Drosophila melanogaster: one gene and its partner. The protein of the gene in region 1 binds, or shares a complex with, the protein of each later gene. Each region holds a gene or a part of one and is shown on either strand. Other genes may lie near its edges. The genes, in order: Nprl3 and Sec13.

What was found.
Region 2: Nprl3 (region 1) and Sec13 share a complex: the UniProt entries of both Drosophila melanogaster proteins name them as parts of the GATOR complex.

Annotation. Positions count from the first base shown.
Region 1 is NT_037436.4:13,992,424-14,008,107, forward strand, and holds Nprl3 (nitrogen permease regulator-like 3), read right to left. Parts: upstream 9,458-15,684; 5' UTR 9,367-9,457; exon of another isoform or gene 9,222-9,366; 5' UTR 9,204-9,221; coding exon 9,070-9,203; intron 9,011-9,069; coding exon 7,312-9,010; 3' UTR 6,957-7,311; downstream 1-6,956. Other genes in the region: CtsK1 (cathepsin K1), read left to right, coding at 1,929-1,977, 2,368-3,357, 3,437-4,047; CG17361 (uncharacterized protein), read left to right, coding at 4,783-5,415; CG17359 (uncharacterized protein), read right to left, coding at 5,740-6,759; upSET, read left to right, coding at 15,427-15,684. UniProt on the Drosophila melanogaster protein: An essential component of the GATOR subcomplex GATOR1 which functions as an inhibitor of the amino acid-sensing branch of the TORC1 signaling pathway.
Region 2 is NT_033777.3:23,345,863-23,361,348, forward strand, and holds Sec13 (secretory 13), read left to right. Parts: upstream 1-10,415; 5' UTR 10,416-10,803; coding exon 10,804-11,090; intron 11,091-11,535; coding exon 11,536-12,319; 3' UTR 12,320-12,669; downstream 12,670-15,486. Other genes in the region: PolE1 (DNA polymerase epsilon subunit 1), read left to right, coding at 2,329-2,399, 2,461-2,587, 2,650-8,858, 8,923-9,226; ATPsynCF6 (ATP synthase, coupling factor 6), read right to left, coding at 9,539-9,707, 9,772-9,923; RpS3 (ribosomal protein S3), read left to right, coding at 12,993-13,028, 13,292-13,996. UniProt on the Drosophila melanogaster protein: Functions as a component of the nuclear pore complex (NPC) and the COPII coat. At the endoplasmic reticulum, SEC13 is involved in the biogenesis of COPII-coated vesicles.

The DNA of each region.
Region 1 (15,684 bases):
ACGAAGTCAAAAGTATTTTTATATTGAATCACATTCATTCCACTAAAAGGCCAAAACAAATATGCTTCATATTACAAACAATCCTTTTACAAAGAAGCTCTTATTCCTTGCTCAAAATGCAATTTTCGTTCCACGTCAATATCCAATTACACCTTAAGAGGCATTCAAGGTCTTCTAGCATCCTGCTGCTTGTGCTTTTCCACGAACATAATTTATATTGTTTTTGTTGACTTTTTGATGACCGACTGTGTGAGCTGGTGAGCGGCGGAATAGAGAAAATGTAACAACTGTGACAAGGGCAGGAAATGCTCCTCTATGCCCATAATACTATACAGATTTGAACCAAAAACACATACATATAAACGCCAACAGCTATGTACATACATATGTATTGTATTGTAGTACCTATGTATGTGGATGGATCATGTATATGTATGTTCGTCTGGGAGTTCTTGTTTTTGTGTGGGGATTCAAAAGGCCTGCCAAAACAGCCAATCAGGAACCAATCAGCGATAAATCAAAGTTTGATTTCATTTTCAGCAACGTTGCTACCTTTTTCGGACTGCTTTTCCTCCGCCGCCAATTACAGAAACATTTTGTTTTCGCCTATCGCGTTAAAACTTTCACATAATTCGCCTAACTTGGCGTTTAAAACATTTAACTTTGGCCAATTCGGCGCAGGCAAAACTTTTTGCCTCACTGGCACGCACACACAAGCACTTTTCGTTTAATTTTTAATGCACTTTTAATTGCGTTTTCTTGTACGGCGCACTTGTACGGTTTGCAGTTTGCATTAATCCACGTCTTACAACATTACCAGATATCTGTGTGTTGTCTAGTTCTTGCTGGTATAAAAAAACCATGCGATTTGGGAATCGAACTTGTGCGATTGGCGAACTTAACGGTACTGAGCCGAACCCACAGCTGTAACGGTAAAGAACGATGTGTGGGCGAGGACGACAACGACGACGATGCTGCTCCTTCGGTGGTAGCTTGACATCTGCTCGGGGTCCTTTCGGGATCCCGTGCTGTCCGACTATCGGTTCGGTTTGAGAGCGGGCGCAATGCAGCAAAACTTGGAGTAGGTTCAAGTTCCGAAGAGAGGGTGAGACTTTATATCGCTGAGACACAGAGAGAAGGGAAGAGAGAGCCGAGAGAGAGTCGTTGTGATGAGACAGATGAGTGACTATCTATACCTCCTGACTGTCAGCTGTTTAACGAATTTAAAAATAGAATTTTTCCAATCCCGATTTTGATCCCTAGACACGGTTTTATTTTTTTCTGACAAATTTTTCTATTTTAATCTTGAATATTAGATCATTCGCGGTTTTTTCGATTATTTTTTATTGAAAGCTTAGCCAGAAAGAAGTGCATCCAATATTTTAAATTAAAAAAAAAAACATTTAATCTCAGCACTTTGGTCACACTAGATGTATAAAATATCTGTATAATCATGTGCACCCTGTGCACGCAATAAAAATTGTAATTGCTATCGATATTTAAAATAATATTGCAAAATCAAACTAAACCTCTTAAGTTACAAAATCGAAGCACATGATATTTTATTAAAATAAAGAAGCAATTCTTCAGTAAGTGAACAGAAAAGATATTTCTTCTAATAAAGAAATTCTTAAATAAAAGAAAATGTTAACGGATTACATAGAATTGCGAATAATTTGTAGAATAAAATACTACCATGACAAAAAGCAAAGAACTTTGATAAGCTCTTATTACAAACTAGAAAGCTCTTCAACCGATTAATACCGATGTTTTTCACGGCGGCGTTATCTCCTCACCCATAGAAAGTTGTTGTTAAAGCAATCGGACTATTGAGCCGGCAGAACAGTTTAATTCTTCGAAAAGATAGGTAGTATACTAGAGTCGGGATCAATTAATATTCCAGACAATTCTCTGGTGAATTCTCAAGAATGCAAGTGTTTTTAGCTTTAGCCCTGCTCGCAGGCTTGGCTTTCTCAGGTGAGTTATAGACGTTAGAATGCTAAAGTGTTTAGCCAAACAAAGAGTAATTGTTTCTGCGTTTGTGTGCGCTTTAAACTAATGCACACATGCATATATTAAAACAATCGAGGTCATCGTTTTAGGATTGAAACTTTAGCTTATCATCATTTTTTTTGCCATGAAGTATATTTAAAAAGTAAAAAGAACATGTTTTTATTAAACTTTTAAATTAGATCAAATAAACGTAAAAGGGCATGTACTGCTATTTTGACCGCAGCTGTATATATACGAAGTATATAAGCAATGGCGTGAGCTTAAACCTCGATGGCTGCCCTTTACCGTTTCTTATTGTCAAGTTCCCGCTCATTTCTCATCTGAATCTCTCCACACTTTCGCCAACGACAATAGCTAATGCCACGAATCCGCCGAAATGGGATCCAAACTACATAGTCAAAGGAACCCTGTACATTCCGTACGCCGAGATTGCGGAACCCTTCTACGCCTGGTATGACAAGAATACGAGGCGATCCCGCATCGATTACTACGGCGGAATGGTGAAGACATACCAACTGGCTGGCGAGGGTCAGTACGGAACCCTGCTGAAGCTGGCACCGATTACCACCAAGACGGAGAACAACAAGCTAACCTGTCTGCAGGTGAATGGCACCGCCGACCAGGCTGTCGATATTCAGAGCATCCTGCCCGATGCGAAACCTTTCAGCCTGGTGGGCACCGAATCCTTTTTGGGCTACACGTGCGACAAGTTCCGCCTGGAGTCGACAATTGGCCAAAAGAAGAACATCTATACGCTGTGGGTGCGGTACAAGAAGTCGCCGCATTATCCCTCCAGCCGAATGCCCATTCCCGTGCGCTACGAGATGAGGGGCTATAACACCCTGCTGGGATCGCACTACGATCATTACTACTTGGACTATGACAGCTACGAGCACGATGATATTCCCAACGAGGTGTTCGAGATCGATGACAGCCTGCAGTGCGTCGGATTCCCCGGACCCGGCACCGGTCACTATGCCACCTTCAATCCCATGCAGGAGTTTATATCCGGAACCGATGAGCATGTGGACAAGGCCTTCCACCATTTCAAGCGCAAGCACGGAGTTGCTTATCACAGCGACACGGAACACGAGCATCGCAAGAACATCTTCCGTCAGAACCTGCGCTACATCCACTCAAAGAACAGGGCCAAACTCACCTACACGCTGGCCGTTAATCACTTGGCCGACAAGACCGAAGAGGAGTTGAAGGCACGACGAGGATACAAATCATCGGGCATTTACAACACCGGCAAACCGTTCCCCTATGATGTGCCCAAGTACAAGGACGAGATTCCCGACCAGTACGACTGGCGGCTATACGGCGCTGTCACTCCGGTGAAAGGTGGGTTCATTCATTCCCTAAGTACTTACTTAGATGAATTTGATAATATTGAATTGCTTAAAACGTAAACTACCCTTAGATCAATCTGTGTGCGGATCGTGCTGGTCATTTGGCACCATTGGTCACCTGGAGGGCGCCTTCTTCCTGAAGAATGGCGGCAATCTGGTCCGGCTTTCCCAGCAGGCGTTGATTGACTGCTCGTGGGCCTATGGCAACAATGGCTGCGATGGTGGCGAGGATTTCCGCGTGTACCAGTGGATGCTGCAGTCCGGCGGAGTGCCCACGGAGGAGGAGTACGGTCCCTATCTGGGCCAGGATGGCTACTGTCACGTCAACAACGTGACGCTGGTGGCACCTATTAAGGGATTCGTCAATGTGACCTCCAACGATCCAAATGCCTTCAAGCTGGCTCTGCTCAAGCACGGTCCTCTGTCGGTGGCCATTGATGCTTCTCCCAAGACATTTAGCTTCTACTCGCACGGAGTTTACTATGAGCCAACGTGCAAGAACGATGTAGATGGACTGGATCATGCTGTCTTGGCCGTGGGCTATGGCTCGATCAATGGAGAGGACTACTGGCTGGTGAAGAACTCGTGGTCCACCTACTGGGGCAACGATGGCTACATCCTGATGTCGGCCAAGAAGAACAATTGCGGTGTTATGACCATGCCCACTTATGTGGAGATGTAGATTGTCCCGCTCCCGCCTACATATTTCTTATTTTGTGTACTCTTTTTATTTTTACGCCCACAGGGCGCTAAATATGCAATACATTTCATAAACTCTTTTGTAATCCAAGTCTTTTGAATCTTATCACTGCTCCGCTTGGCTGGAAATGGAGCTAAGTTTAGCTTGGGTCATTATCTCCGCAGTCCATGGTGTTTCTTAAGTTAATTCCATGCCGATAAGCCGATAAGCCTAGAAGACAATGACCAGTTACCAGTTGAACTTTGCGCAAGTTGCAACAGTTTTATGCGAATCGGGGTCTTTGCCATTTGTAGTGGAAATCATTTCTACAGTAAAAACTCGCTACATTTTTAAAAATTTTAATCATTTAATTTCATCAATATTAAATTAAACATATAATTAGTTTTAAGAATCTTTACTTTGAATAATGATTCTAAAAATAAGTATACCTTCTTATTTAAAAAACTTGCAAGCAAAGCATTGAATTTTTACATTAAACCCGTTTTACAGTTTTTCAATTAAAATAAATTAAAAATATAACATGAAGAATACTTTCAACTGATTCTACAATTTTCACTGCTACTACATTTCATTTTAGATTAATTGTTCATTTTAAATAATATATTTATAAGTTAATTTGATATAACAACAAATAAGTCTAAATTTAAATACATATTTATTGGCATAGATGTTGCATCCCTGGAATTGCGCCAATTGGTATTTTTCTGTTTTGGCTTGATGGTCATCCGATACAGTTTAGTTATTCTTTTTGAATTGTATTTGCTTGGAATCGAAGGAAGCAACGAAGCCATGGATGAATTGGTGAAGATGTGCCGGGTGTGTATGGACGAGCCGAAGGACCTGCTAGACATCTACGACAACAAGAGCTTGGGGGACAGACTGAGCGACGATCTACAGCGAACCAAGGAACCGGAGCCCACGCCGGCTGATTTGCTGAATATCTGCAGCGCATATCCAGTGGATACCGGGGACGGCTTTCCGCTGAAAATTTGCGAACCGTGCCTTATTAAATTGCGTGAGGCCTTGAGATTCAGGAGACGCTACACAAGGACCATGGAATACGTGGCGCGCGTGAAGAGGGAGCAAAGCGACAAGGAGACATGCGATCTCCTGGAGGCCGAGGATTGGGATTTTACGGATCGCATCAAGAGCGAGGAGGAGGAGGAGGAGGACGATGGGGACCGGAACGATAAGCAGCCGAAGAAGGAGACTCGCAACGAGGTGGATAAGAGGCGGCCCTTCAAATGCACCGACTGCCAAAAAAGTTTCACCGGCAAGGCCCAGTTGACCATGCACAGGCGCACCCACACCAAAGGATCCACAAGGACCAGACGAAAAGCTCTTAAATAGTCCTTGGCAACGCTTGGCAAAATGTAGCCAACTAAAATAGTAATTAATCATCTTGTATCATCGTTTTAAAAATAAGTTCGATATATTTTTAAAGTAGAAACAAGTTAGCGACTAATAATGAAAGTACATATGGAGTGTAGTTTTAAAAACAATTTCATGTTCTCATATTGACAATAAGATAATAAAGAAATGATAATCGGATCGATTCACAACAGTTTTTAAGCAGCTTTCTCACTTTGGTTGCGATTACTAGCTTTGTCGATTTCAAACAAGAAATTATTATATGGACATTCAATATATGAAAATACCTTTAACAAATCTTAACTATTTAAACTTATTTCTTTTTGTTTCTTGGCTGCTCGTCCGTCGCTTCCCTCGCGTGTGTGCTGACATGTGTTTTTGTAGGCCGTTTAGTTGCTTGAAGCTTTGCTGACATTTGGAACATTTGAACGGCTGTTCGCCAGTATGAGTCCGGGTGTGGACTTGCAGTTGCCCAACTTGCCGGAAGCGCTTGGGGCAGTTCGGACAACCGAAGGGACGCTCGCCGGTGTGACAACGTGTGTGGCTCTGCAGGTTGCCCTTCTGGGCAAAGGATCGCGGACATAGGGAGCACTTGTAGGGTCGCTCGCCAGTATGTATGCGCATGTGAATCTCTAGGTTTTGTTTTTGGGTGAACGACTGTGTGCAGAGCTTGCACCGATATGGTCCGGGAACCCTTTTCGGTTTGCCCCGTTTTGAGGCGTTCCAGATTTTATCATCATCTTCGTGTTCAAGCTCACTATCCGGGCTCCATGAGTCATTGTCCGAGTAGGATCTCGCCCTCCTCTTGGACTTATTGTGTGGCGTCTTTGCTGGAGAATAACTTTGCGCGAGCTTATGCTCATTGTTGTCTGGAAGAGGAGAAGATATTGGCTTCGGCTCTGGAGGCATGTACTTAACCTGCACAAGCTCAACTAAAAGAGGTTCGGATGTCTCCGGCGTTTTACCAGCTTCCATTACCGAGACCGGCATCTGTGGTTCTATGTTATCCCCTATATTCAGGCAATACTCTATATCGTCCAGCTCCTTCATCATCAGACGCAGCTGTTCAAAGTACTGATGGCTCTTTCGGCATTGCCGTCTTAGCCGATAGGCATTTCTTACGGCCTCCGCACACTCCACGCAGATGAACTGCGGCATTCCGTCCTCCTTATGCACGCTGCATCCGCTGCATTCCCTCAGCATTGTGGCCAAGACCGGCTCCTGCTCCTGGACCCGATTGGAGGAGGCATATGGCTCTGTATATATATCCAACAGGCAGTCGGATTCGTCCCTGCAAACGCGGCACATTTGCGAAATGTCCATCGTGGCCGAGCTCCAGAGTTTCGTAGGCAGGATCAAAAATATACAATATCAACAAAATGCAACTATTAAAATACCAATCACTGGAATATACCAACAAAAAAATACCGAATAATCAGCTGTGCTTCGCATCTTATTAATTTATCAGCTTTGATTTATGATTTAAAGTTGTTTTTTTAAGTTAAAAATGGGTTTTTCGTATTTTTTAAATATTTTATTTTAATCTGGCTCTTAGAGCATCAGAATATTCCCCACTTATCGATATACCTTAAAGCTGTACAATGGGCGCGAAGCTTAAAATGTAACGCTGTTTTGAATATGAGTAATTTTTTGAATTTGTATGAAATCACGGAAAAACATAGTTTGACAATAATTGAATTGAACTTAAGAACTTGCTTGTACAAATAAATAACAAAATATGTAGTCTACAAGCGTAAATTGATTTGCTTCGCAAACTTTACAAAATTAGATGCATACCTATTTTATAGATTATATTCAAAAACTAAACAAAAACATTCAACATTAAAATCTAGGAATGCAAATTCGTCCCAAACTCTACTTGGTATTGTACATGGATGCAATTGCAGGATCTTCGGTTTCGTAAATGATAAGCACATCCCTGAATTTATCAAGCAATTGCAGCAGTTGCGAACGTCGCAGGTTCTCGAAGTACATGATCTCCTCCAGATGATGCTCGCTCTTAAAGTAACCCATCTGATACAGCTTCACAAGCAGAGATAGATCATCCACGTTGGCAGAGGCGGGAATTCGACGGATGGCGGCTCGATCCGCATCGCTGAAAACCTGTAGCAGCTCCTTCAGCTTCTGCTCATCCTCCATGGAATCGAGGCTGTCGCAATTGTCCGTGCTCATCGAGGCGGTGATGCTGAAATTGGACTTGTGGCTGGATGATGGCTGCACGGCGATGTTGTCCGAGGCCAGTGATGAATGGTCCTCGGACGCCTCACGACGATGTCCGCCCACCAATACCGCTGGCACTGGCAACGGATGACTGGACATGCTAAGCATGGAGCCATGCAACTCGTCCGCATCTGGTTCTTGGTCTCCTTCTTCATCGCTAATGGCATCCCTTAGATGGTTGCTGCAGGAGGCCGAATCTCCGAATTCATCCTCGCTGGGCATAAACTGAACGTACGTGTGCAACTGCATGAGCAAATGGTGCTGCAGCATCCAAATCACCATTTGTGCGAGGATACCCTGTCGCGCTGGCTGCTGCAGTGGCGTGGTTAAGTGTCCAATTGAAGTGGGCAATGAAAAATCGGAGATCACCTCGAACAGCGACATACCGGCAAAACGGGCCGAGAACTTCTCCACCAGGTGGGACTTGGTGTGCAATGGTGCATCCGGCGCGATCACATAGACATTTGTCTCGCAGAGTGGATAAATAATAGTTGCCTTAGCCCAGTAGACCAAATGCGAGACGAGCTTATAAACATGCTCGATACTCAAGTCTGCATTGGAGGACATGCTCTGCAGACTGATCAGTGGGTCGTAGACGTCGACTAGCTGCCATAGCATGCGTGCCCCAGTCGGTGGAACGCAGTCCAACAATTCGGCAAAGTCGACCAGCAGCAACATGCCATGATAGGGCTTCAGTGCACGAAGGCACCGATCTATGGTCTCTGGATCCACCATGCTGCCCTTCTTATGGAGCTGGTGTGCCTTAGCGGGCAGACAGAAGCACAACGTTAGGTTGTGATTCAGCGAGGTACTCAGCAGTCCAGTGGTGCATAGATCATGGAAGATGGAGCGCAAGGCCTGTGCCAAGCTGCAGCGCTCTGCAATCAGCTCCAGTGTGCGTTCCAGCGGCTGTTGCTGCTGCTCGTCGTGTGTGCGAGCCATTTGAGCCGTCTGCTCGGTGAGATAGCCACTGCGCTGCTCCTCGAACTTCAGCGCCAGTCCAAGGCGCTTGCTCAGTTCGTGGTAGCACTTAACAATCGAGTAGCTGGCCTGTGCATGCAGCGCAAAAACAATGTTGATGAGCATCTGTTGCTTGGCCATTGGACCACTTCTCTGCTCCTTTTGCGGTATCAGAGTGGGATGACTGACAAAGCGTACGTCGTTCAGTTTGAGTTCAAACTTTTGGTTGCATAGCTGTGGTTTAACAGCAAACAGAGCGGACAGGACCTCATCTGCGAATCCCTGCAGTTGTCCTTGGCTCTTGGCAGCACCCAAGTGGGTGGGTGTCTGCAGCAGATCGTCCGTATTGGCCACGGCATAGGGATTGCGCTTTCTGTGATTGAATAAATCGGTATAGTCAAGCTGAGTGCCCTTTGAATTAATAGGTAGTACCTGGACTTCCGCTGCTCGTCGTTGGCCACCTCCGTTTGGCCGAGAGTCTGGTACGGATACCTGTACAGTAACCGATCCCCCTTGCTATCGAAGTAAACCAGGATTACGGCCAGGGGATTCACATTAGTTTCCATGGCACACAGACACTTCCCCTTTTATGTAAATTAAAATATGAACATTTGCATTATCAACTGGGGTCAGGGTCAACAAATAGTTGGCTATGTTTTCAAAAATACTTTATAAATCGTAGTTTGCTACAGAAACTACCTCAACAACTCTTTATTTATTTATTAGTACCTCAATTTGACTTCATTGAGAAATGGAAGCAAAGTAAATAAATGTAAAATATAAAATATATTTACAGCAGTGTGGCTCTCTTTTAGTTTGCATAAAATACCAAAAACTTATTTAAAATAGTAGTCATGTCAGTTTTCATTTTGCAGGCGAAACAATAATATAAATGCAACGCAATGGAATTTTTTTAAATCGTTTAAATTTACCATAGATACCTTAGATAATATATTCAAAAACTAAAAAATACTAAACGAAAAACGGTCTTACTATATAAATAAATATATATCGGCAAGGCTAATAGTATAGGATCCCTGGTCGAGCGATAACGATCTATCGCTCCGCTGTAGTGTGACCGTCTTCGGTTGGTCAGTCTCTAATTTTTTAGAAGCGGAAAGTTGTGAGCAAAACGTGTGGAAATTGTGCTCGAAACGTCAACAAAAAATTTGTGAAAATAACTGGGAGCGTAGTATGCGAACGCGGCAATCGCAGAACTATGAAATTCCCCTGTGAAACATGTTAGTTTGGCTGTAAAAGCACTTTTAAAAATGACGATTTCTTATTAGCGTGTTGGAAAAGAGGAAAACACACACATTGTGAGAGGCAAAATACGTGCGGATCGTAGGTGGGAGCGAGACGACGCTAAACGTGTACTAGCCGCGGTCTATATATACATATATATAATATTTGTGTGAGTGTAGGAGAGGTATAACTAATTCTACAAAAAAATATAGTTTACTTGGCTGAGTGGTTCGCTTCTGAATTAGTTTCGCACTCTTCGGCAGTATGGTGGCCAATAAGTTAATTTCAACTAATTGTCATTTACTTGTAGGTTTGTTTTTCTACTATGTCTTCGTTTCTGTATCTATTCCTTGTATTTTGGAAAATAGGATTAATAAGTGCCTAAAATGTAAATAGCTTGTGGTTAAATAGTTAATAACATAACTATTTTACTTTTTGTGTATATGTGCGCCAACATCCGTGTGTATAGATTTTACACATACCTACGTAGAAAGGCATGCACAGATATACGTTTGTGTGGGTATCAACGAATAGGCGGAAAGGCGAAATCGAAATATGTACGTACAGCATTTCGGAATGGCCAGGCGCAGTAGTAATAGGCTAAACAGGGAAACAGCGCAACACAAAAACCAAGAAGAAGAAGCAGGGCAGGCGAACAAAATAAAATAGGCGATAATAGTCAGTTGGCATGTCTTGTCCATAGGCTAGAACGGTCACACTAGCTATATGGTCTGCTCAAACCGACTGGTCGTCTCGCTCTTACACACGTCTTAAGCAATCCCAGTTTATGTGTTTTCCTGCGCGTTTTGTCTTCTGCTTCTTGTGCCATACGGTATTAATAATAATAAAATTGATTAATCAAAGTAGAAACATTTTAATTTGTGCAGGTAGTAAACGTTCGAAACAACGTCGCGCCATCACTTAAATGCTGCAAATCAACAATGTGCAACGGAACAAAAAAGAACCAGTGTTAAAGTGTATACAAATTTAATTTGTATTTATAAAATTGAAATATAAAGTTTCGAAATAAAAAATAAACCACGTAGCTTGTCGTTAAATTAAATTAAGTTGTGCAAAATGAAGTGAAAATTCAAAATAACAGAGTAAACGGTGAGTAAAACTAGTGTGTGTGTTTGTATGTGAGTGCGCGCCCAAATCGGAAATATTTTGAATCGAAAAATATACAGTCGAATGGGTTATACATATCTATTGGATCACATATATATGAAATTCAGATTTTATTTTGAGTCGAGCCAGTTAAATAAATATTTCATTTGTTGATGCGTCGATTTTGTATGGTTTTTTTTTTTGCATACTGTGTGTCGCCATATTTGATTGCATATTCTTTTTTCAACTAACCGTCAGTATAGCGTGCTCGCTCGCACAGCTTTGCGGGTTCATTTGTTTTGCTTTCGATTCCGTTTTGTGCAACGTGAAGGTAGATGTGCGTATTATGCCCCTCGCACAGAGTTGCCAACCCGAAGCAATTGTTTTGTTAAATTTCAAGTTGTTTTTAGTTTGTTTTGCTCGAGTTTCTAAGGAGATTATCTAAATCAGTATTAAAATCATATTTCGATTTGGCACACCCCTCCGCATTTGGATTGCAATGTGTATGCCGTGCAGTGTTTTTGTTGTCTCTACCAAAATTTTGACATGCGCATCAGCTAGTCGGAAAAACTTAACAACAAATCGACCGCAAAGTGAAATTAAAGTTGATGAGAATTAGTTGAACGATATCGACGACGCCATGTTGTTCCCATTATCCAGAATGTTAGCACAGAGCTATATAGTTTTTATTTTATTTTCTTTCGCCCTGTTTTCGTCAAACTTTTTATTGCGTGCTCCAGCGTTTACACGCCTGTACGCCGTGAAGTTGGCCGCAGTTAACATAGCTAAGTGTTAGTGTGTGTGTGGGGAGAGCTATGGTGGTCTCGCTCTCGCTTACAGGCATTGCTCGAATGTTCCTGTTCTGCTCTTTGCGCATACGTGATTTTTGCAATTGTTATTTATGCCTTGTGCTTTGTACGCGCGAATTTTCGCCACAAAATGAAAGCAAAAGTTGATAGACAACTTTTTGCCTGCGCTCGGCTTTCGTTATTTTCTGCGCAGCGCAGACAAGACCATCGTCAAAATATTATTTCGCGAAAGCTAAGCCATTCGATAATTTCAAAGGTTGTCGCGGAACGAAACCAAACCGCCACAACCCCCTAAAACCACCTCCCAACCCCACAGATTTTTTTAATGGTGTAATATCCATAATAAAATCCCATGCAGTCTCAATTCTTGATTAGTAATTGACCGAATTAGACGGACCAGAACTAGCGAGCAAGTGAATTAAAATAAGACGCAATTAAAGTTGACACTTTGTAGCTGGTATGCAAAAACTAAAACCCATTTTACGCTTGGCGACTGTTTCAATGAAAGTACAGCCAAAGCAATGCCCCTGATATTGTGCAGTCACGTAGTCCATTGGTCAACAAGCTAATATGAGCAGCATTACTATTTTTAATTGTAGGTTCATTTTTATTCCGTAGATCACAATAGGAGTCTTTCTCTTTTCGACTCACTCGTTTAGATGTGTGCGTCTGCGAGCCTCGATAAGCTTTGTATTTGTTCTACTTCATCTAGCGATGCAACAAAAGCCATAGCAACAAAAAGAAATCCCCAACAAAAACGACACGAAAGCAGTGGCGGATTAAAAATCCTGCTTGCGGGGAAGCTCTCGGAATTTAAAGAAAACAGCAAACAAAACTTAATTCTTTCGATAATATTTTGTTGATATAATGAATTAGATTTTGGCGCATATGTATATCCCAAATGAACCCCCTTGGAACCGCCCCTGTACGAAAGCACCGTGGCCACTTTTCATGTGTTTGTGTGCTCGCGATAAGTTTCAACGTGCATTTGCAGGCACGATTTACGGGGATCTGCTGCTGTCTTGCTCACACCCACGAACCGATAATGCGCGCGAATGGGGCTTATTGTGTGAGCTTGTGTGTAATTTGTTTATGGCGCGCATTTTACTTGCGGATGTTGTTGTTGTTGTTGTTGTAGTATTTGTTGGGGTTGGGGTAGGGTTGGTCCCGCACACGTGCGTGTGTGTGAGTGTAGTTCACCTTCTTTCCGACGATGAGCGAACCAAATTCTCCTTCGCCCCTCGCTCTTTCGTGTGTATTTTTAACTAAGAGCATTGTAAGATTCTTTCTAAATGTTGAGATGTAGCGTCGATGCTAGTGTGTGTATTTGTAACCCAAATCAAAATTTACGACAGCCCCAACCGCTCTATGTGTGGCGTTATCTTTTGTGGCCCATTGAGAAATATGAAACAAAACATGTAACGGAAATGAGAAATGCATACCACAGTCACTATCAAAGAGTTCTAAGCTCAACATCCTGGCTTATCAAAACGCAGCTTGAAGTTGAAAAATCAGTTTTATCGATTAACCTGGTGGTGGCCTTTACATATGTAGTTGCATCTTGTATCCCACAATCTATAGGCAGTAACCCAATGGTTACATAAGCATTTCGTTCCCAGATTTACTATTCAATTGGGGAATCAATTGCGCTGCTCCCCATTCTCTATTCCAATTAGAAACTGTATCTACAATAGGCGCAAATTGGCTGCCAGCACAATCGCACAAGCAGTCGCACACACACGCAGGTGGGATATGGCAGATATGCCCAAGTGCAAGTGGCCTGTGTAATGTGTAATAGATACAAGAAACTAAAAAGCCAGCGACAAAAGCAACGACAACAGAAAAACAAGAAGAAGAAAACTACTAGCGATGAATGCCGCGCCGGATGCCAAGGCGAAATTAGTGCATTCACTTTTCGCTCCGCTTTGCTTTTTTGCTTTGGCTCTCTGCTTTGCAATGCGAATGACGGGGCAAACGCCCGGAATGTGCAGTAAATTAGAGAATTAGAGAACAGTGGCAGTACTTGGCAAATGTCGACATCTTTCAGAGACGGTCGTTTTTTGAGGTGTAAGCGTTTAAAAACGTTTAGTAAATTGATTCCAATGATAGAAAATGAAAGGTCTTTAAATTATTAAAAAATCATTTATTAGTGACCCAATAGTAGATTCCATAGTATAAGAACATGTAATATCTTAACCTTTACAAAGCTTATCAAGTTAGCAAACTTGTAAAATAGTCGAATGTTTATTAATTGATTTGGGACGCATATTGCGTTGGAAAATTGCATTAGCCTTTCAGCGATGCGGATAAACAAAAGCAAAATAGGAAAACTTGTTTCCACAAAAGCCAAATGAACAAGTGCTAAACGTTGTTAGTGCTTTTTTTTATTGGCCAGGGGGGTCACACTACACCTACACACATCCACGTATTCAGGCACACGCACACAAGTGTAAACAATGCACAATCCCTTTGTTGCTTTAGCTTTGGCGCACCTTTCACACTGTTTCTGCTTTGCTGTTTCGCTGCTTTTCCACTTTTCCGCTCCGTGATGCTGCGTTCAAGTTTACAGCAAGTGCAGCAGCCACCACGAAGCACATTCCGAAAGCGTAGACGAAAATACATACGTAGAATAAACGCGGATATTGATGTTTGAAGTGCGCATGCGTATTTTTGGCGCCCGTTGGCAGTGCTGTGCTTTTTATTTTGTTACATAACTCAAATCTGATTTGCAGTTGGCAATGCTACTCCTGGATAATAGAGATGAGCTCCTTAACTTTTATCGATAAAGGCAATGTACCCGTGGTACACTAGAAAATAAAATCTGAACTTTACATCCGAAGATATGCATCCTTGTTTTAATTTTTTGCTTTAATTATTTTCTAACATTATTTTACATTTGTTTGTTTACCACGTTTTTGTTTAAAACAGCTAAGAATTAATTTTTAAATTGGTACTTTTTATTGTTAATAGTTCTGTATGGCCTATATTTAATAGTTATATTTTTACTCATTGCAGATACAACGAAATATCGTTTATGGAAAGACCGTATCCAAAGAATTCAATATCCAACATACAACGACGGACAACAACGCAATATCAATTGGGCGGGACTATTAGTTTTGCGAGATTGGATCAGCTTTAGGATAAGGCTCCGTATACAGGGAGTCAAACAAAGGACGCAAAAGCGAAGAAGCCGGGGAGCACGCAGTGGAAGTTGCCGAATCTCTCCCAGCGTTATGATTGTGATGGCTGACAATGTGATGTGGCACAGAGTTGGACACCGTCTATGCAAATCGAGCGCGCACCACCGCCTACGCCTACAGTTGTCACCACTGGGAGTTTCAGCTTCCGTCATCCGTGCCAGAGCCAGAGGTTATGCATTGAGCCCCCAATGTTTTGGGGGCACGTCAACAAAGGCCCAGCGACAGCAGGAGCAGAATCTGCATCAGCAGAACCGGCAGCAACATGACGGCTTTATCTGTGAAGTAGTGTTGTGAAATAGAAACTAAATCGAGACCGAAACCATACTCTATCAAAAGAGTGAACTCTCAAGCCGAGCCAAGGCTCCTTCCCTGTAAACACACGTCTAATTTTAGTTAGCGGACCAAACTGCCGCAGCACCACCACCATGCCCATGTCCAGTCACGACTCGGTTTTCGTGGAGCCTGCTGTCAGTAGCAGTGGCGGCGGCAGCACCAGCAGCATAAATCGCATCGGAGTAGCCAGTGGGCCACAGCCGCCACCCCCTCATATCGTCATCGATGGCAGCAGCTTGTCCACACAGGCACAACTGCGCATCATGCAACGTCGCATGTCGATAAGTACGCGCCAGATCCTTAGCGCCAGCCAGTCTCAGTCGATCAATCAGTCGCAAAAGTACGCGGTG
Region 2 (15,486 bases), on another chromosome or scaffold:
TGTTTGAGGAGATTTTTGTGGTTTTATGATGAATTTCGTATATAGAAATTGGTTTCCTGTGTTTCTGAACCGCGTTTTTTTTTCTGTTGCTGTTTGCCTTCCTTTTTTTGATGTATATTGCGCGCGCAGATCTTTAGATGTTTTGCTATTGCACTCATTCACTTACACACTGGGTTTTTGCTTGGCTTGCAAAGTGTTTTGCATTTGTTATTTATTTGTTATTTGATTCGTATAATTCATTCAAATCGAATTTACCGTAGCGCAAGTGCACGCTTCCCGAAAGAAAGACAAAAACAGACTGACCGACTGGCAACAGGCGGCAGCGACGCCGACGTTGGCGCAGACGCAGCGTTGACGCCAACGCCGACGCACCTTCTCTCTCCGTTTCTCTCTCTCTTTCTCTCCGCTGCTAAGATTAATATTTTTTTGTGTTGCTCTGGCAAGTGATAACAAAAATGGCAAATAATATGAAAATCGAGAGTTATATCAATCTGACTTATAAACATTATTCGCTATTTTACTTGATCGCTGGAATGAAAACGAAAAGGCGTGGGTGATCCTCAATCTCGCTATCTCTTTCGCACTCGCACTAGAGCGTGCATCATGAGCGCAAGAAAAAAATGGAAATCAGAATTACATATTTCGAGCAGCAAAAACAAAGTGTTTGCAGCGACAAAAAAATAGCAACAATTTATAAAAAAAATCTGCTTGCTCAGAACTCAGTGTAAGTGCGAATATGCGAGAGAGTGTGTGGGTGCGTGTATGTGTGTGTGTGTGTGTGTGCGGGCGATCGTTTTTGGCAAGCATTTAAACAGTGCCCAAAATCACTAGTATATTTAAAATATTTAGTATGCAAAGGGGGCGGAATAATAAAGACAAATATTTTAAAATTTGGCAGTCTCAGTCTTTCAATTGTGTACACTGATATAAAAATTTATTTATTTTGATTCTGGATTTTATACAAATCTATATTTTTGACAAATAAAGTAAATTGGTCAAAATATCAGTTCCAGCTTATTTAAAAGGAAAATTATACTAGTTTCTTTGTTATAATAATTAATAAAATATTTATTTAATATGAAATAATACCTATATGAAAATTTTGATGTGAGATTAAATTATCAACTTATTATTATCATTATTAAAGTTTGCACACAATGTGGGAAAGCTGCAGCTTGGGAAAATACTTTTGGACACCCCAAAAAAAGTTAAGCGCGATATTTTCCCACCGTGACCATGACAACCACTGTGCGTTCGAAAGGCTCTCTCTCTCTCTCTCTTTCGCGCAAATCAAAAACACAAACAGGTTTATGTGTGCGGAGAGTGTGTGCGACAGAGAGCGGCGATATGGAACTGAAACGACTGCAATGTTTTTATATTCCGGCAACGCATTTCGCATAAATTACAAATTACACAGCATAAGTGAATGCAAGTGCAGGGGCGGCAGTCAAATGGCCAGCTGCACCCAGAAAAAGGGCAATAAGATTCGGGATAACAAAACTTGATGGCGTTCCCGATTTTCCCGGCCAAGGGAGCGTATATGTACACATAAAAAAAAAAAACTTAACCAGCCTTGCATAACGAAACACGTGCAATAAAAATATGGCTGATTGTCAACCTCTGCTGCAACTTAATTGCTGCCGCAGAGGTAAAACTGAAAAACATAAAAGGGGGCGACAAGTGCAGCAAGCGAAAAAAAAGAACTCAAAGAGCGCATGCGCGCCGCTCTCCCACTCTCTCTCCCTCTCTCCACTGCGCTGGAATCTTACAACTCGTGTAGGTGAGCCGGATTTTTATGAATGAATGCGCCTGTGTGCGTGACTGCATGATGCCATTGCAGCGGAGAACTAGTAGAAAAAACTTCACATTTCAGCAGTTGGAAAACACATGGCCAACAGGCCAACTCAATTGGCCAGCAGCTGTCCTTAAATTGTCAGCAAATAGGGCATTTAATGCCCATTACAGGAAAATTATAGCTAAAATGGTCAAGCTGTGATGAAATAAACATAAATATTATATTTTATGATTTCATCAGATTTTAAGCATTATTTTTTTAATTTGTGTTAGGTGGAACTACAAAGCTAAGAATAATTGAGGATTTCTAGGTAAAACTTATATTCTTAAAACCATTTAATAATTTTCTTGTTTTCTTTTATTTGTAGTAACATTTTGAAATTGGCGCCAAACGTGTTACTTTACAGTGCTGTGCAACAGCTAAATGTCAGCATTCTCTGCAACGCGTTAGCACATTTCTGAGACGTTTGCAGATTTTTGGCGGCAACAAGTTATTTACATTTATTTATTTTATTTCTGCTAAACAGCACGGAAATGTCCGACTCCAGCAAAGGCAAAGTGCTGCAAAATACGGGTAAATTCGTCAGCGAGAATCGCACAGAAGGGTGAGTGGTCAAAGTTCGTGAATTTCACGCTGAACAAGATATTTTCCAATCTTATCCACAGCGACGACTTCTTCAATGAGGCGGGCTATCGTCAATCCCGGGAGAACGATAAAATCGACTCGAAATATGGCTTCGATCGGGTTAAGGACAGCCAGGAGCGGACGGGCTACCTCATCAACATGCATTCGGTAAGTTAGGAAGCCCATAAAACGTTGAAAATCATGTCCAATAATGGCTATGCCAATTGCAGAACGAAGTTTTGGATGAGGACAGAAGATTGATTGCTGCCTTGGACCTGTTCTTCATCCAAATGGATGGTTCCCGCTTCAAATGCACGGTGGCCTATCAGCCATATTTACTCATCCGACCAGAGGATAATATGCATCTGGAAGTGGCGCGATTTCTGGGTCGCAAGTATTCCGGCCAGATTTCTGGACTGGAGCACATAACCAAAGAAGATTTGGATCTGCCCAATCATCTATCCGGTTTGCAGCAGCAGTACATAAAACTTTCGTTTCTCAATCAGACAGCCATGACCAAGGTTAGAAGGGAACTCATGTCCGCGGTGAAGAGAAATCAGGAGCGACAGAAATCCAACACATACTACATGCAAATGCTGGCCACCTCGCTGGCCCAATCCTCCGCAGGTTCCGAGGATGCCACATTGGGTAAGAGGCAGCAGGATTACATGGATTGTATTGTGGACATAAGGGAGCATGATGTGCCTTACCACGTCAGAGTGTCCATCGATTTGCGCATCTTTTGTGGACAGTGGTACAATATCAGGTGCAGAAGTGGCGTGGAATTGCCTACGATCACCTGCCGACCGGATATTCTGGACAGACCCGAGCCCGTGGTCCTGGCCTTTGATATAGAAACCACTAAGCTGCCCCTTAAGTTTCCCGATGCCCAGACGGATCAGGTTATGATGATCTCGTACATGATCGATGGTCAGGGTTATCTGATAACCAATCGTGAGATTATATCATCCAATGTGGACGATTTTGAGTACACTCCCAAGCCGGAATTCGAGGGTAACTTTATAGTATTCAACGAAGAGAACGAGATGCAGCTGCTCCAGCGCTTCTTCGATCACATCATGGAGGTGCGTCCCCACATCATTGTTACATACAACGGCGACTTCTTCGATTGGCCCTTCGTGGAGACGCGTGCTGCAGTGTACGATCTGGACATGAAGCAAGAGATTGGCTTCTCCAAGCTACGGGATGGCAATTATCTAAGTCGCCCTGCCATACACATGGATTGCCTATGTTGGGTGAAACGAGATTCTTATTTACCTGTTGGATCTCAAGGCTTAAAGGCGGTGGCCAAGGCTAAATTACGCTATGATCCTGTGGAACTCGATCCGGAGGATATGTGCCGCATGGCCGTGGAACAGCCCCAAGTGCTGGCCAATTACTCTGTATCCGATGCGGTGGCCACATACTATCTGTACATGAAGTATGTGCATCCATTTATCTTCGCCCTAAATACGATTATTCCCATGGAACCCGATGAGATCCTAAGAAAGGGTTCCGGCACACTCTGTGAAACGTTGCTGATGGTGGAGGCTTACCATGCCCAGATTGTGTATCCCAACAAGCATCAGAGTGAGCTGAATAAGCTCTCCAACGAGGGACACGTACTGGATTCGGAAACCTATGTGGGTGGTCATGTGGAGGCTTTGGAATCGGGTGTTTTCCGGGCGGACATACCATGCCGTTTTCGTCTAGATCCTGCTATGGTCAAGCAACTGCAGGAGCAGGTTGATGCAGTTCTGCGCCACGCTATCGAAGTGGAGGAAGGCATACCGCTCGAGAAGGTCTTGAATCTGGATGAAGTGCGGCAGGAGATTGTGCAGGGGCTACAGGGTCTGCACGATATACCCAATCGCTTGGAGCAGCCGGTCATCTATCACTTGGATGTGGGTGCCATGTACCCCAACATTATTTTGACCAATCGCCTGCAGCCCTCGGCAATGGTTAGTGACTTAGATTGTGCCGCCTGTGACTTCAACAAGCCAGGAGTTCGGTGCAAACGTTCCATGGACTGGTTGTGGCGCGGCGAGATGTTGCCCGCCTCCAGGAACGAGTTTCAGCGCATTCAGCAGCAGCTGGAGACCGAGAAGTTTCCACCCCTTTTCCCTGGCGGACCACAGCGAGCCTTTCACGAGCTCTCCAAGGAGGATCAGGCGGCGTACGAGAAGAAACGTCTGACGGATTACTGCCGCAAGGCTTACAAGAAGACCAAGCTAACCAAATTGGAAACGCGCACTTCGACCATCTGCCAGAAGGAGAACAGCTTCTATGTGGACACGGTGCGAGCTTTTCGCGATCGTCGCTACGAGTACAAAGGACTAACCAAAGTGGCAAAAGCATCGGTGAATGCTGCGGTGGCTTCGGGAGACGCGGCAGAGATCAAGGCAGCCAAGGGCAGGGAGGTGCTCTACGATTCCCTGCAGTTGGCCCACAAGTGCATCCTGAACTCCTTCTATGGCTACGTGATGAGGAGAGGAGCCCGTTGGCATTCCATGCCTATGGCCGGCATTGTGTGCCTCACGGGCTCGAATATTATCACCAAGGCGAGGGAAATTATCGAGCGAGTTGGTCGACCACTCGAATTGGACACTGATGGTATATGGTGCATATTGCCTGGCTCCTTTCCGCAGGAGTTTACCATTCACACGAGCCATGAGAAGAAAAAGAAGATTAACATATCATATCCGAATGCAGTGCTAAACACTATGGTTAAAGATCATTTTACCAACGATCAGTACCACGAGTTGAGGAAGGATAAGGAAAACAATCTACCCAAATACGATATTCGAGATGAGAACTCTATATTCTTCGAGGTGGATGGACCCTACCTTGCCATGGTGTTACCCGCTGCCAAAGAGGAGGGCAAGAAGCTGAAGAAAAGATATGCGGTCTTTAATTTCGATGGCACACTGGCTGAACTCAAGGGATTCGAGGTGAAGCGACGCGGTGAACTGCAGCTGATCAAAAATTTCCAGAGTTCCGTCTTCGAAGCTTTCCTCGCTGGTAGCACACTTGAGGAATGCTATGCATCTGTGGCCAAGGTGGCGGATTACTGGCTTGATGTACTCTACAGCAGAGGATCAAATCTACCCGACTCGGAGCTATTCGAACTTATTTCGGAGAACAAGAGCATGTCCAAGAAGCTTGAGGAGTATGGCGCCCAAAAGAGTACGTCCATCTCCACGGCCAAGCGATTGGCTGAGTTCCTGGGCGAGCAGATGGTAAAGGATGCGGGTCTGGCTTGTAAGTACATTATTTCGAAGAAACCCGAAGGAGCACCCGTCACCGAGAGAGCTATTCCCTTGGCCATTTTCCAATCCGAACCGAGCGTGAGGCGACATCACCTGCGTCGCTGGCTTAAGGACAACACCATGGGCGATGCGGATATACGCGATGTGCTCGATTGGAACTACTACATAGAGAGATTGGGTGGGACCATTCAGAAGATCATAACCATACCGGCGGCACTGCAGGGACTGGCCAATCCAGTGCCCAGAGTTCAGCATCCGGATTGGTTGCACAAGAAAATGCTGGAGAAGAACGATGTGCTCAAGCAGCGTCGCATCAATGAGATGTTCACCAGCAGACCCAAACCGAAACCTCTAGCCACAGAGGAGGACAAGCTGGCCGATATGGAAGATTTGGCTGGTAAAGATGGCGGTGAGGGTGCTGCAGGCTGTCCGATAGTCACCAAGAGAAAGAGAATCCAGCTGGAGGAGCACGATGACGAGGAGGCACAGCCGCAGGCCACCACTTGGCGTCAGGCCTTGGGCGCTCCACCGCCCATCGGTGAAACCAGAAAGACCATCGTTGAGTGGGTGAGATTTCAGAAGAAGAAATGGAAATGGCAGCAGGATCAGCGCCAGCGTAATCGCCAGGCGAGCAAGCGAACTCGAGGCGAGGATCCGCCGGTGGTCAGAGCAACAGGATCCACAGCTACACTGGGCGGATTCCTTAGACGTGCACAACGCACCCTGTTGGACCAGCCGTGGCAGATCGTACAGTTGGTGCCCGTCGACGACCTGGGCCACTTCACTGTGTGGGCCTTAATCGGCGAAGAGTTGCACAAGATCAAGTTGACGGTACCGAGGATTTTCTATGTAAATCAGCGAAGTGCAGCTCCTCCAGAGGAGGGTCAACTTTGGCGCAAGGTCAATCGAGTTCTGCCACGATCCAGACCTGTTTTCAATCTCTATCGATATAGTGTGCCCGAACAGCTCTTCCGGGATAACTCGCTGGGCATGCTGGCGGATCTGGCGACGCCCGACATTGAGGGCATATACGAGACGCAGATGACGTTGGAATTTCGCGCCCTCATGGACATGGGCTGCATTTGCGGTGTCCAGCGCGAGGAGGCACGTCGCTTGGCCCAATTGGCCACCAAGGATCTGGAAACATTTAGCATCGAGCAGCTGGAGCAGCGGCCCCAGACTCAGGTCAAATATTTGGCTAGCGCCAACAATCGATTGCGCAAAATCTACTTGTATCAGCATAACACACCGACGGCCAAGAAGGAGATCTGGTCACTGATCCTAATGCCCAGCAAGAAGGCATTTGTTTTTGCCTTGGACACAGTGCGTGCCAATCAAATGCCGAACATGAGGCAATTGTATACCGCCGAGCGTTTGGCCCTGCTCAAGAATCTGACGGCAGAGGAGCAAGATAAAATTCCTGTAGAGGATTACACATTTGAGGTTCTCATTGAGGTGGATGTCAAACAAATTTACCGGCACATACAGCGGGCACTGACCACCTACAAACAGGAGCATCAGGGACCCACCATTCTGTGCCTTCAAACGGCGCTGTCGGCGCGTAAACTCAGCCTGGCCATGCCGATCCTGCTGGAGTTTCCCCAGGCTGAGATTCATATCTCCGATGACGCTAGTTTGCTTTCTGGCCTTGATTGGCAGCGACAGGGCTCCAGGGCAGTGATACGCCACTTTCTGAATCTGAACAATGTTCTTGATTTGATGTTGGATCAGTGTCGCTACTTCCATGTGCCCATTGGCAATATGCCGCCGGATACTGTGCTTTTCGGAGCGGATCTTTTCTTCGCTCGCTTGCTGCAGCGGCATAACTTTGTGCTGTGGTGGTCGGCGAGTACCAGACCAGATTTGGGTGGCCGGGAGGCGGACGACAGCCGGCTGTTGGCGGAATTCGAGGAGAGCATTAGTGTGGTGCAAAACAAGGCCGGTTTCTATCCGGATGTTTGCGTGGAGCTGGCTCTGGATAGCCTGGCGGTGAGTGCCCTGCTCCAATCGACTAGGATTCAGGAAATGGAAGGCGCCTCATCTGCCATTACGTTCGATGTGATGCCGCAGGTCTCGCTGGAGGAGATGATTGGCACTGTTCCGGCGGCCACCTTGCCGAGTTATGATGAAACGGCCCTCTGTTCCGCCGCCTTCCGCGTTATGCGCTCCATGGTGAATGGTTGGTTGCGAGAGGTATCCATCAATAGGAACATCTTCTCGGACTTCCAGATCGTGCACTTCTATCGATGGGTGCGCTCCAGTAATGCACTACTCTATGATCCTGCTTTGAGAAGATCTCTGAATAATCTGATGAGGAAGATGTTCTTGCGCATTATAGCCGAGTTCAAGAGATTGGGCGCCACCATTATCTATGCGGACTTTAACAGGATTATCCTTAGTTCGGGTAAGAAAACCGTTTCCGATGCCCTGGGCTATGTGGACTACATTGTGCAAAGCTTGAGGAACAAGGAGATGTTCCACTCCATCCAACTGAGCTTCGAGCAATGCTGGAACTTTATGCTCTGGATGGACCAGGCAAATTTCTCGGGAATTAGGGGAAAGCTACCAAAGGGAATCGATGAGACAGTGTCGTCAATAGTTTCCACTACCATGATACGGGATTCTGAACGCAATCAAGATGACGACGAGGATGAAGAAGAGGATTCGGAAAACCGTGATCCAGTGGAGAGCAACGAGGCCGAGCAGGATCAAGAGGATGAGCTGTCCCTGGAGCTCAACTGGACAATTGGCGAACATCTGCCCGATGAAAACGAGTGCCGCGAAAAGTTTGAATCCCTGCTGACCCTCTTCATGCAATCTTTGGCTGAAAAGAAGACCACCGAGCAGGCCATCAAGGACATCTCACACTGTGCGTTCGACTTTATCCTGAAGCTGCACAAGAACTACGGCAAGGGCAAGCCGAGCCCGGGCCTAGAACTTATCCGCACTCTGATCAAGGCGTTGAGTGTGGACAAAACGCTGGCGGAGCAGATCAACGAGTTGCGCCGAAATATGCTGCGTCTGGTGGGGATTGGTGAGTTCTCCGACTTGGCTGAGTGGGAGGATCCCTGCGACAGTCACATCATCAACGAGGTCATCTGCAAAGCGTGTAATCACTGCAGGGACCTGGATCTCTGCAAGGACAAGCATCGCGCCATGAAAGATGGAGTGTGAGTTACACAAACCAGTACACATAATTTACCACAAATAATTGATTAATGTTGGATTTTTCAGACCCGTTTGGCTGTGTGCCCAGTGCTATGTGGCCTATGATAACGAGGAGATCGAAATGAGAATGCTGGATGCACTGCAGCGCAAGATGATGTCCTATGTGCTGCAGGATCTGCGCTGTTCGCGCTGCAGCGAGATCAAGCGCGAGAATCTGGCAGAGTTCTGCACTTGCGCTGGCAACTTTGTGCCCCTCATCAGCGGGAAGGACATCCAGACACTGCTGGGCACATTCAACAAGGTGGCTGCCAACCACAAGATGCAGTTGCTCCAGCAGACTGTTCATCAGGCGCTGACCACGCCACGCTAGGACCTAGTTTGTTGTTGTTTTCTAGATCGTAGGGCTTAAATATATTGTATTTATAATGGAATTTAATTCGATTTTAATGAGTTTTGAGTTTATGATGTCGCACAAGACGAATGTCTGTGTTAAGGAATGGACGCGCTTTATAATTCAATGAGATTCACACACTTTTAGTGGCTTTCGCATACGAATCGCTTGTTGTTTTCCCGATTTTATTGGTTTTTTTTGTTGACTTGCCCGCGGTTTTTGGGGGCGCACAGGCGAAATCAGCAGCTGAACTTAAAGCAATTAGACTAACTCATTCGCGAAGAGCGATCTCTACTGTGGGGCCTGGGTGATGGGATCGACCTTAACATCGGGGAACTGGAATTCGGGGAACTTCAGCATGTCGGTCTTGCCATCGCTGCCAAACTGCTTGGCCACACGGTCCAGTTCGGTCTTCAGCTCCCGCTCAATATCGGGATTGGAGTCCACCAGCTTGCCACCGCTGCAGGTGAGCAAAACAAGGATTATGTCGAGGCACACCAACGGATGAAGGAGCCAGAACTTACGCGCTCTTCTGCTTGTACTCGCGCACTTTGTCCAGGAACAGCTGCTGGATGGGATCGGAGGCCTTGTTCAGGGCAGGGGCAACGATTCCGAAGTTACGACGGGCCTCTGTGCGCAGGACACGCATGCCACTCAGCAGGGATTGCGACAGCATCTGGAATTGATAGATCCTTGTTAGAATAGCAATAAACGGCCTTCTTCATATGTAACCTTAAAAAGGTTATGTAATACAATTGTTTGTTTCGACGTTTCCCAATCGGTTTTCAAGCCGACTTTGCTAGCAACTTTATCTTGTATTCAAATTGTATTCCCTCAATCAATTTTTATGTATTTTAAATCTTGTTTTCACCTTATTTTCCTTTGCAAATGCTAACTTTCGTGCGGAAAAGTTACAATTGTCAGTTCACAATGGCAGTTGGTGTTAGTGATGTGCGCGTGATGGGTGTATGCGATACTATTGGACGTAAGCTTTTTAAATAGTAAGGGTATTTCCTAAGCTGATTTTTTGCTTTATCCTGTATTTGTCAGCTGTATCATATAGATTATATTCGTTGCGAACAAGAATTTTAATCAACAATCCGTTTAAATTACTTGCCTCTATCGAAATACAGCCTATAATAAAAATATTACAAATTATGAAAAGCTAATTTATACACTGTGTCTGTTTATGTATCTTACTATACATGTCCAACTTAAATCAAAACTGCTCCATAAACGTTCATACCAAAACACCACCTAAACTGTATCTAAAATCCCACACAAGCCAAAACCCGATCTAAATTGAATATAATTAATAAATTCTTGTTTTACTATAATATGAATATGAATAATATGAATATGAACTAAAAACTTTGAAATTATTCTATCTCATCTATGGACTAGAGTGACCATGTGATCAATTGCAAGTGTAACCATCAGCCACTGCCGCGCTCAGGTCACACTGCTCAACCAGGTTCCACGTCAAGCGCCGGAAAAAAACACGACTTGCATTTAATCAATTTATCTGGCGACCGGACGAACGGATTTCGAGCAAGATGGTGAGCCTGCTGCAAGAGATCGACACCGAGCACGAGGACATGGTCCACCACGCAGCGCTGGACTTCTACGGCCTACTGTTGGCCACCTGCTCCTCGGACGGCAGCGTCCGCATCTTTCACTCGCGCAAAAACAATAAGGCGCTCGCCGAGCTCAAGGGACACCAGGGACCAGTGTGGCAGGTGGCCTGGGCACATCCCAAGTTTGGCAACATACTGGCATCGTGCTCCTACGACCGCAAGGTGATCGTCTGGAAGTCCACAACGCCCCGGGATTGGACTAAGCTGTAAGTAAACGGGCACACCCATACCAACAAAGTTATGTTTGTTTTAGGAATCGACCAGGGGATACCCATTGTTAGGACCTTGATTAATAATAATACTTTAATAGCTTGATCCTTGATTAATAATAATACTTTAATAGCTTTGGAAATCATTATTTTAATATTTATGCTTGGACGTCTTGTATCAAATGTAATTTATCATTTATAATTGTTTACATCATGGTATTGAAAATATTTAACAAGAAGAATCAGATCTTGTTATAATAAATATATATAAATATATATATATGTTGGTGTCCTTTAAATTGTTCCCTCTGTCATAACACAATAAAATACTCTCTTATTGACGAGATTACGAGGTAGCAATGCGCCATGTCATACTTATGTTTAGATTTCCGTTATCATTTAAAGAGTGCCACATCTAACCTCTGTGCTTGCCACATTTCAGCTACGAATACAGCAACCACGACTCCTCGGTAAACTCGGTGGACTTCGCGCCATCCGAGTACGGATTGGTGTTGGCCTGCGCCAGTTCGGATGGCTCGGTATCGGTGCTCACCTGCAACACGGAGTACGGTGTGTGGGATGCCAAGAAGATACCGAATGCGCACACGATCGGAGTGAATGCCATCTCGTGGTGCCCCGCCCAGGCACCAGATCCAGCATTTGACCAGCGCGTAACTTCGCGTTCGGCGGCCGTAAAGCGCCTAGTGAGCGGTGGTTGCGATAATTTAGTGAAGATTTGGCGGGAGGACAACGACCGCTGGGTGGAGGAGCACCGACTGGAGGCGCACTCGGATTGGGTGCGCGACGTGGCCTGGGCGCCGTCGATCGGATTGCCCCGCTCGCAGATTGCCACGGCTTCGCAGGATCGCCATGTGATTGTGTGGAGCAGCAACGCAGATCTATCCGAGTGGACCTCGACTGTGCTGCACACATTCGACGATGCCGTGTGGAGCATCTCGTGGTCAACCACCGGCAACATTCTTGCCGTCACCGGTGGGGACAACAATGTCACATTGTGGAAGGAGAACACGGAGGGCCAATGGATCCGCATCAACTACGAGTCGGGTACGGCCATCCAGTCGAAGCAGCCCTCGCACCTTCCGCATTCCCACTCCCAGCAGCAGCAGGCGCTACAACAGCACCAACAACAGGCGCCATCGCATCCAGGTCCTTCCTCCGATTCGGAGCATAGCTCGAACCTGTCCAACTCGCAGCTCTCCAACTGAGCCAGCCCCGAAATATTGTCGTGCTGAAGTCGTGGTTAAAAGTGTTACTTTACAAATATATATATACGAAATACTATTTAATGTGCCCCTTTAAACGCTGTTTAGTGTATGTTTATTTGGACTTCATATGGGATCCCTATTTGAATCTTCTGAAATTATAATGAATTCTAAAGACAAGTTTTTGTCGAAATGGTATCATTTTTTTTAAGTTTTATCAAATATATTTGCAAATTGTAAGTAGTATGTATTTAAAAATAATAGTATAATAAGATTTAAATAATTAACCAAATTTTATTCAAACTTATTATTTTTAACCATACAGATAAATTCCAAAACTAAAATTTTTACACAATTTTTGAATGTCACTTTAGGTTTGTGTACAAGCTTGTTGTAATCTAGTTTCCGAACCATGTCTGCCTAGTACTACTGTGAATCAATTTAAGTAAAAACGAGGCAGAAACAGCAAATAGCTAAAAAACATTTTAAATTAATGAATATTAAAAGTAATTAAAATAAATTGTTTAATTCAGTAGTGTATAACTGTAATTTTTGGAAACCAAATTGGTATATAGTGGTATTTATTTCCAGACCGGGTGGTATTTTTTAACGTGTCTCGCGCGGGCACACTGGCCTCTTTCTTTTCTGCGCACCACGTTTCCGATTCGACGTCAAAATGAATGCGAACCTTCCGATTTCCAAGAAACGCAAGGTAATTGGGGAAAAATGAGACAGGATTACCTCCGGCATGTAATGCAGTGTCCGTACGTTCGTTGTTTCATCGGAGTTGTGTGAAAAACCCGGCCGGAAAGCGCGAAAATCCATCGGCTTCGGAGTTAACCTCAAAGCAGATGGGCGTCCCAAAAACTTTGGAACTCAACAACGCGTGGTGAAACAACAACAACAAGAAGGAGGATTGCTAGGTGTGCAATAGATGTGGAATGCGGATTATAATGGTTTCTTTTTGCTCCCCAGTTCGTTTCCGATGGCATCTTCAAGGCTGAATTGAACGAGTTCCTGACTCGCGAACTCGCCGAGGATGGCTACTCCGGCGTGGAGGTCCGTGTGACCCCCTCTCGCACTGAGATCATCATCATGGCCACCAAGACCCAGCAGGTGCTGGGCGAGAAGGGCCGTCGCATTCGGGAGCTGACCGCCATGGTGCAGAAGCGTTTCAACTTCGAGACCGGACGCATTGAGTTGTACGCCGAGAAGGTGGCCGCTCGTGGCCTGTGCGCCATTGCCCAGGCTGAGTCGCTGAGGTACAAGCTCACCGGAGGACTGGCCGTCCGTCGTGCTTGCTATGGTGTGCTCCGCTACATCATGGAGTCGGGAGCCAAGGGCTGCGAGGTCGTCGTGTCCGGCAAACTGCGTGGTCAGCGTGCCAAGTCGATGAAATTCGTCGATGGCCTGATGATCCATTCGGGAGATCCGTGCAACGACTATGTCGAGACCGCCACCCGTCATGTGCTCCTCCGCCAGGGAGTGCTTGGTATCAAGGTCAAGGTCATGTTGCCCTACGACCCCAAGAACAAGATCGGCCCCAAGAAGCCGCTGCCCGACAATGTGTCCGTTGTGGAGCCCAAGGAGGAGAAGATCTACGAGACGCCCGAGACCGAGTACAAGATCCCCCCGCCCAGCAAGCCACTGGACGATCTGTCCGAGGCGAAAGTTTTGTAAACCTAGTTTTACTGTTCATCCAATGAGCGACTAGCTGAAAGAGTTGCCCTCAAATACAACAAAACAACAGAAACAAAACAAAAACACATAATAATTCAATAAACAAAATCAATAAGTAATAACCCACTTGTGCAGTGCAGTGTAGAGTGCGAGGGTCAAACATAAAGTTGTGTCTGTCCGATATGCAAACCTGTTTTCCAAAAGGAAAGGATAGCTTTTGAAACTCAGGCTAAAAATAGACTTAGTCCCTCACCACCTCGCCACTATGATTAATAAATATGAAACAGTTTGGCCACAAGAGTTGCTTACCTTCCCATTTTATCAGAATAGGAATGCTTAATTTGAACAGATTTAAAAATTAGATGAAAATTTCAAAAGCATTTATAAATAGTTTGATATAAAATGTAATGTTTGAAGAGTAGAGATCTAGAGTTTTATCAGCATCTGTCTTAAATCCAGGGTATCACGACTTCGGCTGTGCCAAATGCATCTTACATTCTGGTTTCGCATTTTATTTGCATTTCTTGTGAAGCGGAAATCAGCGATTAAAACGGCTCACATTTTGTCCAGTTGTCTGCTGATTTATGAGGCTGTCCTTCGGGCAACATGAGTGTGTGTCCGGTGTGTCCGCGAGTTTCTGGGACCGCTGATGATAACCCGCTCCTCTTATTTATCATGTTGATATGTTTATTTCCCAGCTGGCACAGTGACACGGCCGCAGGGCAATTGCAGCGTGAAAATCAGCAATCGTTCAATTTATCAACATTTGCGAGATTATAACAGCCAGCGCGGGAGAAAGAGATACTTTTTTTTTTTTTTTTTTGTATCTTTTGCGCTCGAACTCGAGTTCGTGCCCGTTTGGAGCGGCCTGAAATCGCAGCTGCAGCACACGATCCTCGATCCCGATGACAAATGGCCACATGCAAGACTCCTCCATGCCCGCTGCCTCCACCTTCAGCCAGATGATGAGGAGGTGGAGCAAATTTAGGAGGAGGAACTGGCGGCTTGTCTCGGCGGCATCACGCATCAAGTTGCGATTTGCGCCATAAATCTAAATTAGCTGGCTGGTGGTAGGAATCGGCGCAGTTCCTGGTTGCACTATGGCACTATTGCTATGCATTACCTGGCTCCTCCACTTGCCCCAATCAATTAGGTGCACATAAAAGCAGACGAAACAAATTTTGCTGGCCATCTCGCGCGTCTGTCTGTGCGACTGTGAGAAATATTTTCCCAGCCGCAATTGTTCTGTCCATTGTTGTAGTTGCGGTTCATTTCAACGCTGGCATAAATCATACAGAACCTTTTAAACACGACTTTGAACGTATGATTTCAACACAATTTGTAAATAAATTAGATCGTGATTATGGCAACATCAATATCGCCAGCAACATCAGCATCTGCAGCAGCAGCAACAACAACGGGCATCCCCGCAGCAGCAACATTATTAACCGGCCAATGTGTTGTGGCATGTGTGGCAGCCATAGCTCTCC